2 linked regions of the Caenorhabditis elegans genome follow. The protein of the gene in region 1 purifies or fractionates together with the protein of each later gene. This does not show direct contact. Each region holds a gene or a part of one and is shown on either strand. Other genes may lie near its edges.

Region 1 (5,153 bases):
AAATTAATTGACCTTATTAATGATAAAACTACCGTACAAATTGTAAATAAATGAATTCCACATCAAAGGATTATTTGTTCGCTTTGAAATCAGTTTATTGATTGTGTGCACTGCCCATACATACTCGTTATTCTGAAAAAGTATTTAGAAATGTTGAGATTAGAGTTGTTTTCCCAAACCTCAGCGAGTTGAGCGCCGATAGCTATTCCCATGGAAGTTTCGCAGATGATATCAAGAGTACAAAGGGCGATAACGGAGAGAACATCAACTCTTTCACTGAAAATAAACATTTGAAATAAGTAATTATAAATTGAAATTCTCACTCTGCACCAAGGCAACACAATTTCTGAACCAAAATCTTCAATAAAAGAAAATCAAAAAAAGACGCCATTGTTCTTTCTGGCTCGTCAAAATACTGATTCCAAGCCATGGTTCAAGCAAAACGTATGCGAACCCTGTTCAGATGTTTCGTCGACGAGAAAATTGCTTCAACAAGGTCGCCAGAGTAGAGCATCAGGCATGGGAATGGACCAATCCACAGAAGACACATTCGTGGATCTGGATATAAATATCCCATTCCAATCACTTGGTTCATGAATCCCTCTGGATCTGGCTTGGTGATGAGTCCGTGACCGATGATTGGGTATGATCGTGGCTGATTGAGATGCTGAAAATTTATTGAAGTTATTCATAAATTTATTTTGAAATCAAACCTTCAAAGCTTGACGCATTCTCAAGTGTTTGTAGAGCAGCCAAGCGATCACCGTCGCCGAAGCCAGAAGTACAGCGAGGATGATAACCCCCATGCATATGATGAATAAAAAAATATTAAATAAAATAAATGTTTATTTTCATAAAAACTGGACAAATTTCATATATGGACTTATCGGAACAAAAAGAAAGAAATAATAATAAACCAAAAAATTTGAAAATCTATGATAAAACCTTTCAGATAACTTCTCCACAGTCGGTGATGACGCAAGCCTTGGAACCCTTCGTGTTTGATTTATTGAAGGCGATGCGGGAGACAACTTCGGTTCCAGCCAAAACTTTACCAAATGCCACGGTTTTTCCATTCATCGATTCATATGGAAGAATCGAGATGTTGAACAACGAGCTGTTATTGTCTTCTTTCAATCAATTTTCCTGAAAAAAAAAGCTGATTTCAGATGCGGATATTCATGAAATAAAAAAGCAGATGAATAAAAATAAATAAATTCCCATTTCAGTCTCTCAATTTAGAAATGCTGAAAAACTGACCATCGGCAATATTCCCGGATTTTGATGCATTTCAAGATACTTTTCATTTTTGAAATTCTTTTCGGCAAAAAACGTATGGGTCAAACATTAGCCAAATAAATATTCTGAAAAGTTAGTTTTTGATAGCATCTTTTAAGCTGGATTTTGTCAATTTATAAAACTTTTAGATGCCTAAACATCACTTACAAGATTGAAAGCCCAATGAAAAAAACTAATGTTCAAATGAGTTAGCAATGGAGCGCGTTTACGTTCTTTGCGCGAGCTTCGAATTTTTCTGCTTTTATTTTCAGAAAAAAACACTTTCTGAAGTTTTTCAGTTTTCCTTCAATTTGTTATATCTGGTTTCATGCATTTTTTAATCGTAAGAAAATTTCATATTCATTTTAGTTTATCGAAATAAGAATTACTGTTTTAAAAATTAAACAGAATTGAGAAAACCACAAACTAAGCGCCCTGTGTTATTTTTTAACCAAAATTTCTCAGATTTTAAAAGATATTCTGAATTGATGCGAAGTAATCGTGTTTCTCTAAATTATATTCTCAGTTATTCTAAAAATTCCCCTCCTCTTCTCACATGCTCTTTTCCTAATTCTCAATGCAATTTTTCACAATTTATATTATATTCACAACCAAAACTATATTACTAATCGAAAATTGCAGACGCTGTCCGAACAGTTGTAGGAGTGGTGTCGGGCGACGTCAACGTCTCGAAACAGAACCAGGACTGCGAACGCGGAGAATTTTGTCTGCACTCTCTCCGAAGAGAGTGCAGAGAAAACCAGAAACGGGTAGTAGACCACCCAGTCGGTTAACTACGGTGGATTGGAAGAAGTGACCAGCAAGAAATTTCAATGTAAAAATAAGAGAGATTTCCATTTATTTCAATTGTAACTGTAATGGAGGTGGATCCGGGTTCAGATGATGTAGAAGCTGACAGAGAAACGAGAGCTCAGAAACTAAAATTAAAGTAAGTTAAATTTTTTAATGTTTTTTTTTGTTGAAATTGTTTTAAATTCTTTAATTCACATCCAGTCAAACTAAAATGATCAAAAACTAGGTTTTCAGAAGAAATGTCAAATTCCGTGCACAAATGAGAAGATTCGACGAGTACTGTGGAGTGACTAATTTAACAGTAGATGATCTCAATTGGCCTTTAATATCTGGAATTCCTTTACAAAGACAACGATTGACAGGAGCTACGTATTATGATGATAGTCTTCTCGATCAAAATCCTTGGGATGAATTTTCAATTGATCGATTTCTTGAAATTACTTCAATTCAATTAATAACAGCCGGTGCTGGATATGAAAGGAATGATGAAATTACTCGATTCGTTTTTCAAAGAACAATGAAGACAATTGTAACTTATTGCAATTTTATGTATGATTTGGCAAGGCGGAACGGGAAAGTGTGAGGCGAATCTGAAATTTTATAAAATAAAATTTTAATTTTCAGTCAAATAACTCGATTCGAGTTGCAAGATTTGATTCATCGCGATGAATTTCGGTTTTACATGTATTTTCGACAATTTTTAGTGAGTTTCCTTGTTTTATCATAAATTAAAACAAGCTCTACTTACCCGATTTTTTTTTCGATTTTTGAACCAAAAAAGGGATATCCGACTCGACACGACAATTTTTAGTTAAATAAAAACGGGTGTGTGCCTTTAATAAGTACTGTAATTTTAAACTTTCGTCGCTGCGGAATTTTCTTAGTTTTTCGGAAAATTGTTTTAATTAAAAAACTAAAATTACGCAATTACCAAAAAAAAACAGGGATTTTAAGAAATCAGGAAAACATGTAAAAACCGGTGAAAATTTAACAAAAACAAAATCTTGAAATTCCAGTACTCTTCAACGGCGCATTTCCGTTTGTATTTTACTTTTTTTAAAATCCTAATTCCAGCCCAATCCGGATCCGAATTGTACGGCCTTTTCCAATCACTACACGTCTCTTCTTCATACACTCTATTTCAATATTCCGGGAATGCCACAGTTTTGGAACAATTCCCAAATGTATAATTACGCTGCTACCCGTGGTCAACGCCTTGTTCAAAATATCGCCGCTTTTTATCCACCCGAATATTTTTGGAACGAAGATGAATCCAAGTATCATACTACGTTTGTGGTTCCACGTGGCACAGAGTTCTCAAAGTTTTATGCTCGAAGATTTCATGAAGCACTTGGAATGCCACCACTGGAAAATGAGATTATTACGGTTTTGGATTGGCTTGCGAAGCTCTGCATTTTGGAAGTAAGCATTTTAAAAATGTTATTTATGTACTCATATATTAATTTAAAGCTTTTAAGCGTTAAAAACTATTTTACATTTGTAGATTGTATATCACACAACGATTTGGTGCGACATAACTGGATTTGGAGGGCTTCCACGTATTGAGCACTATCGTTTAGCCATGGAGAATGTTGGTAGGAATTTATTGTTAAAATAATTTAAAAGTATATACATGACATGTTTTTCAAAATATAAAACACAATTTTTTTAAAGCGAAACTTTAAAAAATCATCAAAAGTCGAATAGCGTAAAGGGAATTTTTGTTTTCATAGTCGCAAATTTCTAAATTCTACAACAGAAAGACAAAAAATCGACATAAAAAATCCATCGTTTGAAAACATGCTTTTTCGATTTTGGCATTTTTTTGTATTGAATTCAAACCCGGATGTTAGCAAAAATTTTTAAAAAATCACGTTTTCGGTATTACTAAATTCTCCACATTTAAAAAGAGTCCATTCTGAAACTTTTTCGATTAAAAAATTTCTTTCACAACTATGTTTTGTTCTAATTTCAGAAGACATCATATTCGACTTGGCAATTGATGATTTCTCAATTTCCCGTCTACAGTTACAAATTTCGCCGTTTGAAATCTCTCGCTACTCACCTCTAGATGTATCTGGTTATTATGAAACAATTAAAAGAAAAAAAGATATTGAAGAATATCAAAATCGTTTCTATGAAGTTCATTATTCTGATGATGTTCGGATTATGAATGTTTATGCTACTGATTGCTCCAGGAAACGATGATATCAATTGTTATAATGATTTGCTTTTAATTTTAATATTATTTCATTTGAAAGTCTAACTCTCTATATTTTACCCAGATTTCCTATTTAATATCACCGATTTGCCTTCTATCTCACTAACGCTTCTTGTGTCATTCACTTTCGAATCCTCTGGTTTACATTTTGAAAAATGTCATAATGGTACACTGCTAAAAAAAGCTGGTTCCATATCACTTTAATTTGTTTTAAGATTTGTTTAATTTAAAATAAAGGTATAGATAATATCGATTAAGCTGCTTACAATTGGTTAGACGCTACGCAAGTGCGCTCTGGTAGACAAACAATAGCATCTGTTGAGTGCGCAGTTGGTTTACACTCATTCAAATGTGTACGGGTGTGGCATTCGAAACATTTCGAATGAAACACTAAGAGTTCCAGTTGCTTTTACGAGTTTTTGTGTAATTTTCAGTTGATTTAACGTTTATTGCTCATTGCTAGAAGCCGAACTACAAAAAACCCACTATTTGGCAATTAGTCTACTACGACTCAATTGGTAAAATATTTCGAAAGTTATATTTTTCCAATATAACCATCAATTTCATAATGTAGCATCTTTCCTTCAATTTTTAATATTTTTTTGTCATTCTGAATAAAAAAGTACAAAAGTCATGCTGAAAAGGATACATATCGATACAATTCCACATGAATATAATTTGAATTTCTATTCAACTGATATACATTACACATATTCGCGTGTGCTAGAAAACTCGTATTTTCCCATTCGATACATCATCTGCCAACTTTCTTAACAATCCCAAGATCGTCACCCTTTCCTCCACAGCACCAGTCCCGCCTTTTTAACAACGATCTGTTTTT
Region 2 (4,840 bases), on another chromosome or scaffold:
AGTGGTGAAAAATGGAAATTTTTGCCGATTTGCCGAAAATTTTAAATTCCTGTAATTTTCCGATTTGCCAGAAATTTTAAGTTCCGAAAACTTGCCGGATTTTTCAACTTCCGGCAATTTTCCGATTTGCCGGAAATTTCGAATTCCGGCAATTTTCTGATTTGCCGGAAATTTTTAAATTCCGGCAATTTTCCGATTTGCCGGAAATGTTCAACTCTGCCAATTTCACCCGATTTGCCTGAAATCCTCAATTCCGCCAATTTGCCGGAAATTTCAACTTTCGGCAATTTTCCGATTTGCCGGAAATTCCAAATTCTGGCGATTTGCCGAATTGCCGGAAATTCCAAATTCTGGCGATTTGCCGAATTGCCGGAAATTCCAAATTCTGCCGATTTGCCGGAAATGTTCAACTCTGCCAATTTCACCCGATTTGCCTGAAATCCTCAATTCCGCAAATTTGCCGGAAATTTCAACTTTCGGCAATTTTCCGATTTGCCGGAAACTCCAAATTCTGGCGATTTGCCGAATTGCCGGAAATTCCAAATTCTGGCGATTTGCCGAATTGCCGGAAATTCCAAATTCTGCCAATTTGTCGATCTGCCGGAAATTTTAAATTCCGGCAACTTTCCAATTTGCAGGAAATTTCAATTTCCGATTTTCCGGAAATTTCAAATTTCAGCAACTCGCTGATTTGCCGGAAATTTTAAATTCCGGCAATTTTCCAATTTGCCGGAAATTTTTTAATTCGGTTTGCCGAGCCATTTTTGCCCAAAAATTACAAAAATTTTTGAAAAAAGGCGGTGTCTAGAGTCGAAAATCGCCCGTTTTTTTAAATTCAAAAATTTTTTCTAATAAATGTATATTTATAAATTGTGGAATTTTCTATTTTCTGTGGAATTTTTTGGTCTAAAACTGAATAATTTCTCTAGAAAAGCTGAAAACGGGTGGTCCATCCGACTCCATCGGGCGATTTTCAAAGAAAAAATGTGGGTGCAAATGCGCTCTAATGCGAATTTCTTCCGCATTTTTTTTCGTTAAAACTATTCAAATTGCCGCCGAATCGCGCGGTCATTCTCAACGGAGCGCGATTTCCCGTACCATTTTCGGTTTTCACGTCGCCACCACCAGGTTGTTTGTCCTCCGAACCCATTTGCTTGGCCTGGAAAATTGTAAAAATTGATTTAAAAAATTCATGAGAAAATCCAGAAAGGGCCCAAAATTTTAGGGAATTTCTAGATAAAATCCCCTAAAAAATGAGCTTCTGACTGAAAAAATCCATATTTTTTTGCATTTTCAGGGCGTGCTAAGACCCAAATTATACTTTTCTGACCTCCTCATCAACCGCGGCGGGGGTGTGCTCGGCGGTGCCAGTGTAAGAGCAAAAGTGCACGAGAACTTCAAAATAATATGTATGTATTTTTATCGGAATTCTCTGTCTCTCGAATTTTGGATAGAACAACTCCTTATCAGTCGAGCGGAAAAAAAAAACGACGTGGCAGGAGCAGCAACAGCGCCCAGCGAAAAAAAAGTAGTGGCGGAGCAGTGTTCGATGATCAGAGGAGCAGAAATATTCGGGCGGTCTAGACGAGGTAACGGTGGTGATATGAACCCGAAAAAGGAAATGAGAAACATGTAGAGCTGAGAAAATTGAGAAGAAGAAGAAGAAAAATATAAATTCTCACGGTTGGACAACCCAGAGACGAGAAAATCGACAAGTTTTTGGCGGGAAAATTTGGCGATTTTCGAGGGAAAATCGATTTTTATATTTTTACAAGTGCTGTAAGAGTGTCTCATTTCGGCTTGATCTACGTTGATCTACAAAAAATGCGGGAAAAGAGACGCACACTTTTAAACTGATTTTGCATGGTTAAGAACGTGTTATTTTTTTGGGCAAAAAATTCCCGCAATTTCGTAGATCAACAAAACGTGATGGGACAGTCTGGCACCACGTGTTTTTATAGGACCGCAGAAAAAAGGTCCGGGGTGCCGCCGAAAAAATGTTCAATTTTCGGTCTGTTTTTTTTTTGAGCAAAATGAGCAAAATTTGAAAAAAAAAACCGGCAGGCCTGATTCAGGGGTGCGGGGTACTTGCCGGAATTGCCGGAAATAATATTTTGGAAGTGTTTTTGAAATTAGACGCCTAGACATGCATTTTTTTGACCCGACTACAGAAAGCCCCATTTTTTTCAGATTTTTGTCGTTTTTCCTGGGTTTTTTAAAGGAATTTCTAGGAATTTCTCTTCCCCGGAGCCTGAGCCTAGGCCTAAGCCTATGCTAAAGCCTAAGCCTAAGCCTAATCCGTCGCCTAAGCCTAAGCCTTAGGCTGAGACTAAGCCTCAGCTTAAGCCTATGTTTAAGCCTGAGCCTAAGCTTAAGGTTAAGCTTAAACCTATGCCTAAAAGCCTAATCCTGAATCTAAGTTTAAGCCTAAAAGCCCAAGCCTAAGCCTAAGCCTAAGCCTGAGCTTAAGCATAAGCCTAAGCCTAATTATAAGCCTAAAAGCCTAAGCCTAAAACTGCGATTTTCAAGCTCAACATGTTGTCAAACTCGAATTTTTAAAATTTTTAAGTTTGAATTTAATTCTTTAATTCTGATTTAATTCTGAATAAGGCTAAATTTTTAAAATACAGTTAGGTTTGAAAAAAAAGCTTAAAAAGTGGGAAAATCAACAAAAAATTGAAATTTCGGACGTTTTCAGTTCAATTTTAAGCGAATTTCGGTGAATTTTTCCGGAAAACCACTCCTGGTACGTGAAAATTCGATTTTTCTCAAATTTTTGTGATAAATCTGCTTTTTCGAAAAGTTTTTGTCTGAAAAATGTGCATTTTTCCAAAAATCTACGAATTTTGCGGTAGAGATACCGGGATTTCGCTAGAAATGTTCGATTTTTATGGATTTTTTTTTCAGCTTCACAAACTTACACACTGATCGACAAGCTCCACCTTATTCCACCCATTTGCATTCTTTTTCTTCGAGAAGCTTCCACGACGTTGAGCCTCGACAACCGTATCGGGATCCTGGAGAGAATTGATTTTTAACGAATTTTTAATGTGAAAATTGTAAAAATTAGTTTTTTAATTCAAAATTCCTCGAATTAACCTCAGTACTGGGGGCCATCATGCCGCCGTTTTCGTTGTTTTTGATTTCCTGTTGAATTTGGAGAGTTGCGTTGAAAATTGCTTGACGCGGGGGCTCTTGATGCTCCAAATAGTGTTGATTATTTAGAAGATGACGTGGCGAGCCTCCTGGCACATTCTCTGCAAAAAAAATCAATAGATTTGAAGGATATTAGGCAGAAAAATGAGAAGAAAATCTTTAAATTTAAATTTAAAATTCAAAGAATAGAGTTCGTGGTGAGACCCATCGCAAGAATTACTGCATGTTCCTTTAAAACTACAGTAAGGCTCGATTAATTTTAAAAACTTTTTGAATGAGAATTCGCCAATTTTTCAGTGAAAATCAGTAAAAAATTGGGAACTGTTAAATATAAAAATACATGACTTTTTCAATTTGAAAGTTTGGAGCCAAAAATTTTCAAATAACGGCGCAGAGAAATTAATTGTCGGGTGGGTCTCGGCACGATCGTGGTGAGACCCGCTAAAAACATGGAGAACAAATATTTTGAGTTTTCCAGAAAAAACAACGACAAAAAAGGAGTCAAGGCTTGGGTGGTTTTTTTTTTTGAAAAACCGTGCACAATTTTCAGTACTCGACTGATAGCACATATACATAGGAGAGAAGAACATCTAACCCCCTTGGCGATGCGAAAATAGCATACGAGACAGAGAGACGCCGTACATTGGTGGCGTAACTGATAAAAAACTGATAATAAGTCTCAAAACCACCGCGGGCACTAGGCGCCAGCGCCGAGAAAAAGTAAGAAAAAAATAAAAATGTTGAGAAGAGGGGGAATAGTACTGTATCTATAGCCACCGGTCTTTTTTTTTGGAATTTTTTCGTTTTCGCGAACGGAAATTCGCAAAAAAAGGGAAATTGAAAAAGTAACCAGTGAAAGTGATTGGGAGGATGATATATATTGATAAGGGAGACCGGTGGAACGTGAGAATTTTGAATTCCCGCGCTGGACTACGGTAGGAAGGCGAAATTGGGATTTTTTGAAAAACTCTGGAATTTTCGAGTAAATTTCGTCTAAAAATGGAAAAAAATGTTGCGAAAATATTCTAAATTTTCTTTGAGGCGACTGTAGTTTTTTTTATTATTCGCCAAATTTTGAAATTTAATGCAAAAAGGTGTGCGCCTTTAAAGAATACGGTAGTTTCATTTTTTTTTGGAGTTTTTTTTTTGCCCAGTGTTTATTGTTAGTTTTTAAATAAATAAATAATACATTTTCAAAAATTGATAATAAATACCGGAACAACGAAAGTTTCAAAGTACAGTAATTCTTAAAGGCGCAAAACCTTTTGGCATTCAAGAAAAAAATTTTCGTGCCAAGACCGAGTACCGTATTTCTCGCGGAAAAAAATCGCTAATAATCGCGTTTGTGTGATATTTTTCCGCTTTTAACATTCAAATCAGGTGTGGGCGGAAAACAATTTTTTATCGGCAAACGGCCAATTGGCATTTTGCAAAATGAAAATTCCGGCAAATCGGCAAACCGGCAATTTTTTCGATTTGCCGGAAATTTTTTGAGCAAATTCTATGAAAATATCTAAAGAAAACGGGGAAAAACTTCAAAAAGGCACAGTTTTAAGAGTTTCCGGCAAATTGATATCCGGCAAATCGGCAATTGCCGGATATGAGAAATTCCTGCAAATCGGCAATTTTTTCGATTTGCCGGAAATTTTTTGAAAATTGTAAGCAAACTCTATGAAAATATCTA

What was found.
Region 2: the proteins of fem-3 (region 1) and tra-1 purify together in Caenorhabditis elegans (affinity purification with western blotting, with the first as the bait; one study listed by BioGRID). This does not show direct contact.

The regions. Positions count from the first base shown.
Region 1 is NC_003282.8:9,103,046-9,108,198, forward strand, and holds fem-3 (Sex-determination protein fem-3), read left to right. Parts: upstream 1-1,920; 5' UTR 1,921-2,156; coding exon 2,157-2,227; intron 2,228-2,317; exon of another isoform or gene 2,318-2,325; coding exon 2,326-2,670; intron 2,671-2,715; coding exon 2,716-2,794; intron 2,795-3,165; coding exon 3,166-3,513; intron 3,514-3,595; coding exon 3,596-3,686; intron 3,687-4,066; coding exon 4,067-4,299; 3' UTR 4,300-4,562; downstream 4,563-5,153. Other genes in the region: C01F6.14 (Ovule protein), read right to left, coding at 852-1,076. UniProt on the Caenorhabditis elegans protein: Required for male development. In XO (male) animals, fem-3 directs male differentiation in all tissues. In XX (hermaphrodite) animals, it specifies the first 80 or so germ cells to be sperm. Negatively regulates male development when bound to tra-2.
Region 2 is NC_003281.10:11,191,944-11,196,783, forward strand, and holds the start of tra-1 (Sex-determining transformer protein 1), read right to left. Parts: upstream 3,259-4,840; 5' UTR 3,121-3,258; coding exon 3,100-3,120; intron 3,018-3,099; coding exon 2,922-3,017; intron 1,160-2,921; coding exon 1,099-1,159; intron 1-1,098. UniProt on the Caenorhabditis elegans protein: Plays a major role in controlling sexual phenotype. Terminal global regulator in a well-characterized cascade of sex-determining genes. Promotes female development. Interacts with tra-2 to promote spermatogenesis.